2 linked regions of the Xenopus tropicalis genome follow. The protein of the gene in region 1 purifies or fractionates together with the protein of each later gene. This does not show direct contact. Links are inferred from orthologs where the notes say so. Each region holds a gene or a part of one and is shown in the gene's direction. Other genes may lie near its edges.

Evidence for each region. The genes of interacting proteins can lie anywhere in the genome.
Region 2: the proteins of polr2c (region 1) and med19 purify together in Homo sapiens (affinity purification with mass spectrometry; 4 studies listed by BioGRID and IntAct, with this or other methods). This does not show direct contact. The link is inferred for Xenopus tropicalis from reciprocal best matches to the Homo sapiens genes POLR2C and MED19.

What each region holds. Positions count from the first base shown.
Region 1 is NC_030680.2:76,284,861-76,289,173, reverse strand, and holds the start of polr2c (DNA-directed RNA polymerase II subunit RPB3), read left to right. Parts: upstream 1-1,510; 5' UTR 1,511-1,535; coding exon 1,536-1,621; intron 1,622-3,154; coding exon 3,155-3,204; intron 3,205-3,410; coding exon 3,411-3,479; intron 3,480-4,051; coding exon 4,052-4,104; intron 4,105-4,313. UniProt on the Homo sapiens protein: Core component of RNA polymerase II (Pol II), a DNA-dependent RNA polymerase which synthesizes mRNA precursors and many functional non-coding RNAs using the four ribonucleoside triphosphates as substrates.
Region 2 is NC_030683.2:55,860,796-55,864,315, forward strand, and holds part of med19 (mediator of RNA polymerase II transcription subunit 19), read left to right. Parts: intron 1-2,514; coding exon 2,515-2,637; intron 2,638-3,520. UniProt on the Homo sapiens protein: Component of the Mediator complex, a coactivator involved in the regulated transcription of nearly all RNA polymerase II-dependent genes.

The sequences.
Region 1 (4,313 bases):
CTTTCATTTGGTTTGGTATTCCCTTATAACACAGGTATATTGGTAAATTGTGACGTACCTTTCTGATTACATCTTGTCCCCTGCAGTGTATTTACTGGGGTAAGTAGGAAACCTAATCTTGCCTGTGAAGATTATTTGCTTATAAACATATATTCAAATTTATCAGTCACCTCTTTGGCCATTCAGCATTGTTTCTAGTTAAAGAAATACTGTCGTCGGAAAATGTTTTTTTCAAAATGCATCAGTTAATAGAGCTTCCCCAGCAGAATCCTGCATTGAAATCTGTTTTTCGAAAAGACAAACTTTTTTTATATTTAATTTAAAAAATTTCACATGGGGCTAGCCATGATCTTCATTTCCCAGGGTGCCACAGCCATGTGACCTGTGCTCTGATAAACTTCATTTACACTTTACTGCTGAGCTACAAGTTGGAGTGATATCACCCCCCTCCCAGCAGAACAAAGGGAAGGTAGCAAGATAGCAGCTCCCATTAGATATCAGAATAGCACTCAATAGTAAAAAATCCAAGTCCGGTTTTGGACTCCTCCAGTTACATGGGAGTAGGAGAAACAACAGATTGCCGAAAACAGTTCTAATGTGTAGTGCTGGCTTTTTCTGAAGACTCAGACACAATGCACTGAGACTGCTGCCTACACACCAATATTACAACTAATATCCTGCTGGGCCCCGCTAGACCCTGCTGGCAGCCCACCTCTCTCCTTTATGGCCCCAACCCACCCAGCACTTTGCTGGGCCCTGGCAAATTCATGCTTCAGTGATAAGCCCTAGCCACCTGCTCACCTATCCTTCACCTTGTTGGGCCCCACCAGGCCTGGCGACTATGTCCCGAAACAAAACCATTTTCGTGTTGAATGGGAGTTTAAGTTAAAAATGGTCATGTGTTCCGCCATCTTTAATTTTTTATGCAGGCAAAACTTTCAGAGGTGGCGCAGGTAAGAGAATGAGGATCTAAGGAGCAATAGAAGAACAGATATAATTGTCTTTGACAGAACAGGGCAAGCAGCATGAAGGCATAAAGAAGAAAGGTTTATGACATGCCTGAGATAAATGTGCTGATACCTACTTGCTGCATTCATTTTACTGGCATGTGTAAAGTTAATACTTACATTATCAATTTCTGCAGGTCTAGAGTAAATGTGATCATAAATTATTTAACGCAGTGATCTTAAGTGTATGTCTGGGTAACTATAACTAAAGTGTGTGGCAAACGGCATAAAAATGTTGGCACCATGCTCAGTGCATTTTTAGACCCCAAAGTTTCAGATTTACCGCTAAAGCCCCATATTTTGTTGCAATATACTTGAGACATGATCTACAATGTTAGGTGATGGGTACCAGGTGCCCCAGTCCGACACCGCCTTTAACTAGTCATCCTGATCGTTAATGATCCATATAGAACTCAAACTCTATTGTTTGTAGCCACGAAAGGCAACCCCTTTCTGTACGCGCTTGATCTCTGTGGTCTCCGGTTCTCAACTTCCGGTTTCCGGTTTCTAAGTTGCTGTGTTGAGAGGATGCCGTACGCGAACCAGCCTACAGTGCGGATAACGGAGCTCACTGACGAGAATGTCAAGTTTATCGTGGAAAATACTGACTTGGCGTAAGAGACCTTTGACTGTTATGGCAGAATAATGGGTTTAATTGCTTTTTTCAGAACGATGTGTGGTGTGCATGTTGCATACTCGCTGCCCCAGACTGCCTGTCTCTCGAATCCCAATTCCTGAGACCCCCACATTTATAATGAGTGGTAAAGTGCGAGGGAATGGTTAGGTGGAAATAGAGTTTAGATTTTTATTTTTCCAACTTCGGCTAGGTATGATGTGGTACTTATTCACCATTGTGTCATGTATCTACTTTGTGTTATTCTGTTGTTTCTAATTATCCTAAAAGTGTAAATAATAGTGTGACTATATCACCATATGATGACGTATGTCATGCTGGGTACCACTGGTTTCCTGGACGCATCTCTTCTCTAAAGGGCAACTAAAGACATGATAGAGGTGTGACAAGTTGGCTGTTAGGCGTATGTAACCCACATATTGTACATCGCTGCAGAATATGTTGGCGCTTTATAAATAAATGTTAATGTAATGTAATCACTCCTTCTTTGGGTTCCACTATTTTCTGGTGCTTCTGTATGAAACTGTTTCATTTCCCTCAGGGTCACCTGTTTGCATGGATGCCCATTCTTCTTTTTAACCTTTTTTGATTGAGAATATTTATTTTTGGTAGTTCTTTTAACCCTTTTGGTTTCCCATGTGTTCAGGAGCAACTTCTAGTTCACCTTTTGTGTCTGTTAGTAGATTATATAGTGCCTGGCACCTAAAGGGTTCATTTAAAAAAAAAAAAACTGCATGTTTTCATACCAATATCGCTAACATACTTTGTAAAGGAGACATATTGGATAAATGGGAAAAACGCTAATTTTGTAGGCAATTATGAATAATATACGGTTCTGGTTTCTGTTTGTGCTAAAAATTAATCTTCTCTGTAAAAATGGCCCCTTTATTGGAGCTCCCTAGTGTGAAATGAAGAATGGGCGTGTCCTAACAGTACCTGCCAGAAGCACAGTAGGAGGGGGAGAGCCAATCACAGCCCTGCACTCAGACAAGCAAAGACAGGCTTCAGTTCCCTATCAGGTCAGCCTAGCTGCTGATTGGTTCCTATCCTACAGTGCAGTGTACGGAGGGCCGCCGGCTCCCCAGCTCATCCAGAGAATTCAGCCAGCAGGAAGTGGAACAGATGGGCGGGGCTAGTGGGGTTTTTGTGGAATTTCTCAATAAATCAGTCTGAAACACAACATTATTAAGCACAATCGTTCTATATCTAGAGGAGTATAATTCACTATAATTCATTCATAATTTTTATAGGATATGTCTCCTTTAAGAGGCCTCAAAGGCATAAAACTAAATTTAGAATTAGAAGAAATGGAACACTGCTTCCCATGTAAGGTAGTAATCATGCTGCACTTGATTTTTTATAGAACCATTTTTAGGAAATGTGTATTTGAGTGCTAAAAATATGCAGGTATTATTGCTATAAAATAATGAGTAAAAGGAAAAATTGTTACACTTGTTCCTCTGTATAAGCAGCCATTAATTATCTAATACTAATAAACCTTTTTCTATTTCAGAATTGCTAACTCGATCCGTAGGGTGTTCATAGCAGAAGTTCCTACTATAGGTATGTGCTCTTGTCCTGCATAAGAAAGGTTAAAGGGCCCTTGTTCAGCATGATTGCAATAAAGCTTACCTGAACAGGAAACACTCAGTGCAGTGTTTGTGAGCATTAATGTTTTATTACATTAGATCTCAAAACCCCTTGTAATGCATTCTGGTGCCCCTTACATTAAAATAACACATTTTTGTTGTTTATGTTTTATTTTACAGCTATAGATTGGGTGCAGATAGATGCAAATTCCTCTGTTCTTCACGATGAGTTCATAGCTCACAGAGTTGGTAAGTACTTAAAGATAAATTTACATTGAGTAGCAGGGCAATATTTCTAGTTAAGGCTACTTGCACTACTAGCAATACGTTGTCTAGCTTGTTTTGCCATTAGGGAGAAACTCCAGTTGCTATTGTACAGCGCTGCGGAATATGTTGGCGATAAGTGATACTGACAAGAAAAAACTACTTTTTAAATTATGAATCTACATAAAAAGTTACCAATAGGTCATGTTGATCAGTTTTTGTTGATAGGTTTGCTTTTATTAGCAATTGCTACTTAAACCTGACTGTTTTCCCAACCTGACTGTCCCTTCTCAGCCTGTCAGTTATAGCTTCTAATGCTAACGGACTCCTGCTGCACAAATATGGCCGCTCCCTCATAGAGGGACATGGGAGATCAGATAGGTAATGTAAAAGCATCTTGCAAATACTTTTATGGCAAAATTATAAAGCTCATGAAAAGACAGTGTTATGATAGATATAAAAAAGGTTTTTTTTTCTGGTGTCAGTATCTCTTTAATAATAATAATAGTGCAAGTGTGTTATTGTCTAATTCTGCATTTCTCTCTCTCTCTTTTTAGGATTGATCCCTTTGACCAGTGATGATATAGTAGATAAACTGCAGTACTCTAGGGTAAGTGCTTTGTATTTGAAACTAATTAAATCTATTTTAAATTAAAGAGGTTGTTCACCTTTCAAGGTATAGTGACACTTTCAGAGTTTTAACAGGAATGCGTTTCTAGACATCCATACGTTAATAACCTGTGTTGGTCTCTGGCAGGGCTTGGAGTTCAACAGCTTTGTGAGTGATGGAGTGCTTGGGGGTGGGACAAGTTTTTGATA
Region 2 (3,520 bases), on another chromosome or scaffold:
AATTCCCTCCCCGAATCAGTCGTACTGGCTGATACATTATATAGCTTTAAGAAGGGGCTGGATGGATTCTTAGCAAGTGAGGGAATACACGGTTATGGGAGATAGCTCTTAGTACAAGTTGATCCAGGGACTGGTCCGATTGCCATCTTGGAGTCAGGAAGGAATTTTTTCCCCTCTGAGGCAAATTAGAGAGGTTTCAGATGGGGTTTTTTGCCTTCCTCTGGATCAACTTGTAGTTAGGCAGGTTAGGTATAGGCATTATGGTTGAACTTGATGGACGTATGTCTTTTTTCAACCCAACTTACTATGTTACTATGTTACATGCTTCTGGTTAAGGTTGGGTCATCTTTGAGGTGAAGGAAAAATATCAGTGCGACTGGCTCTTCCAGGGGGATTAGATTAAAATGGACCATCAGAACAGGCTTAGTTGGGAGTGAGGAGTATATCAGGAGTAAATGGCGATTACATTTTGTTGCTGCCGACAATTATTTGTAATGAACTTAATTTTGAAAAAAATCTTTTTATTCTTCTTAACTGTAAACTTTGCTCAGTAGAAAGCCTAAGATACACAACACTTTTACTGGTGGCAGTTATCTTTTAACAGTATACAAGTGCCAACTTGATTTTAAATGCCCAAATACATATAGCAAGGTACATGTTTATGCCCCAGAACATGTAGCAGTGCCAGCTTGATGTCAAATGACTCCAGATATAAAGCATTATGTATAATAAGTGCCAACCTCATGTTTAATGAGAAAAGTGTTTTAGTACTTTTTGCTTCCCTGTATACAGCTCACCTTTCCACCCTCTTCCAAGAATCTGACACCTATCACTGGCAGCAAATTTACAGCAGCCCTTCGATCATCCAGTGTGGCAGTCTTGGTAACTGCTGCTCAGATTGCAGGACTATTTCTAAACCAATGGGATCCTGCACCGGGATCTCGCTCCCAGTGGGTTCAGCCTAGTGCTGGGGCTATTTTTTATTTTTTTTTCAAGAAGCCCCCATACCACCTTGTTTTGGGATTGATGTATAAAGGCTTATAACAACTAAACTATCTAATATAACTGTCATGGTGTTATTGATGTACCACAGTTCAGCCAGAAAATCCCCCTCTATCTTTAAAGCAGAAGGAAAGGTAAAATCATTGGAGGGGTTCTAAAATGTTAGGCACACCCCCAGTGATTGTAATCGCTTGCCTTATACCCCGGAGTGGTGCACCTATTAGAAGAAGAAAGAGGATCACTCTCACAACTACCCAGGGCTGGGGTATAAGGTAAGCGATTACAATCACGGGGGGGGGGGGTGGTGCCTAACATTTTAGAACCCCTCCAATGATTGTACCTTTCCTTCTCCTTTAAAGAGATATGGACACCAGAAATGTAACTGTTTTTTTTTTTTATATATATCATAACCGTGTCTTTGCATGCCATTTATCATTTTGCCCTACAAGTATTTGCCCACTGCTTTTATATTATCTAATCCCCCATGTTCCTCTATGAGGGGGCTGCCTTATTTCTGCAGCAGGAGTTCGTTGGCACTAGAAGCTATAACTGACAGGCTGAGAAGGGACAGTCAGGTTTGCAAAACAGTCAGGTTAAGGGACTTCAAATAGCAATTATTAACAAAAGCGGCCCTATCAGTGAAAAATGATCAACATGACCTATAGGTAACTTTTTATGTACATTCATATTTTAAAAAGTAGTTTTTTTTTGTGTGTCAGTATCACTTTAATATATGACTGTAAAGATATTGTAACTATTGGATTTAGACTGGATTTTGGTTTATGTAATAAAACTACATTTTTTTTTCTCACACAATTTATTAAATGCATTGTTATTTGAGGAAATGGGGAGACAACTAGTGGGGACCATATTACTGCATTAATGGATTAAAAACTTTACAACTGGGGGGGGGCGGGGGGTTGTTGAACAAGGATTATGACCTGTATGTTTTACTTTGTTTATTTTGCATGAAACTATTTAGATGCAGACATACCTAATTCTACAGATTTGATATTTGTAAAAAACTATTTCCTAACTCTGTTAGACTCGCATTGTAATGCAGTTCCTTCCTAAACCTGTTTCATAGTGAAGTGATATTGGGATTTGAAATCCTTCTGCTTTCCAGAGAATCTGTGCAACCACTGTTTCTTAAGCCCCGGAATTTATCACTTCACAATGAAACAAGGTAAAGGATGGGTTAGTAAATGTATCTGTAATGCATTTTGCCCCTTGGGGCTTTATCAACTGGATTAATTAGCCTACAACAGCTGCCCAGACGTTGACTAGATCTGCTTTAATTTTTGTTTTTTTTGGGGGTTTTTTTTTTTTTTTACTCGTAAGAGCAAACCCTGTCAAGGGTGGCTATATATAGAACTTTTATAAAATTTTGACCCACCTCCAGAATGTAATTCTAATCTGTTAGGTACACTGATTTTGAAAATAAATTGGCAGCAATATTTTTTTCTCAGTTTTGTGTGTAAATATTTAAAGTTGTGTCTGTTTATTCCTCAGGACTTTCAGATCTCACTGGCAGTGTCAATCTTATCTTGCACTACAACTTGGAACATTCCTTCAGTAAATTCTGTGGAAAAAAAATGAAAGAGAAACTCAGCAACTTTCTTCCAGATCTGCCAGGTAAAAAAAAAAGGGAGGTGGTATTAGCCTTTTTAACATGTTTTTACAGCTGACCATTGAAAAAGAAAACAAAAAGGCATTTAGAATAAGTAGCTTTGTGGAAGTTAAATGGTGATGAAGGGATAAAAGGAGATTTTTGCCTAGTTTATGTTAACAAAGCCTTGTTTGATGCAACATACACAGTTATAATTCTGTTTACAGTACAACTCACCCACTCCTGACTGGGCTAGCAGCTAATTTTATTGTTTCAATTACATTAAAAAACACATATTTATAAAGCCCCAACATGTTCCACAGAACTATACATTAAAGGGGGTGGTGTATACAGTGAACACACAGATTACATCAAAAAAAGAACAACCAAAGCTCAATACAAGAGTTAGTGGGCCCTGCTTAACATCAGCTATTGCATCCAGACCCACCTGATAGGGACACTGATGGCTCAGCCCAACCTAGTCATTATTTGACACAGGATATGGTACAACCCTCTGTATTAATACAATTTGGAGGCTCAAAACCCTATTCTTATTACTAGATTTAAAGTCACAGCCTATTCACAGTATCAATCCAAACTATAAAGGGAGTTTGCGAACAAACTTCATGTTGAATGAAATCTGATCTGTTGTTGGCTCGGCCCACTTTTTCTAACCTTGGACCACAGTTATATAGTAAGAGCCACTGTGCAAAGTTTTGTAATAGTGTCTGAATAGCAGCAAATTAAATTTCCCACTGAAAGTCAATGAGTCACATCTGATTGGCTGTTGGTGGCTCCGCCCACTTTTTAACCTGGAACTGCAGTTACCCAGTGACTAACTATGCAGAGTTTAGGGACCCTAGTATTAATAGTTAAAGAACGGCAGCAGTTTAAATTTAAACCGATAAA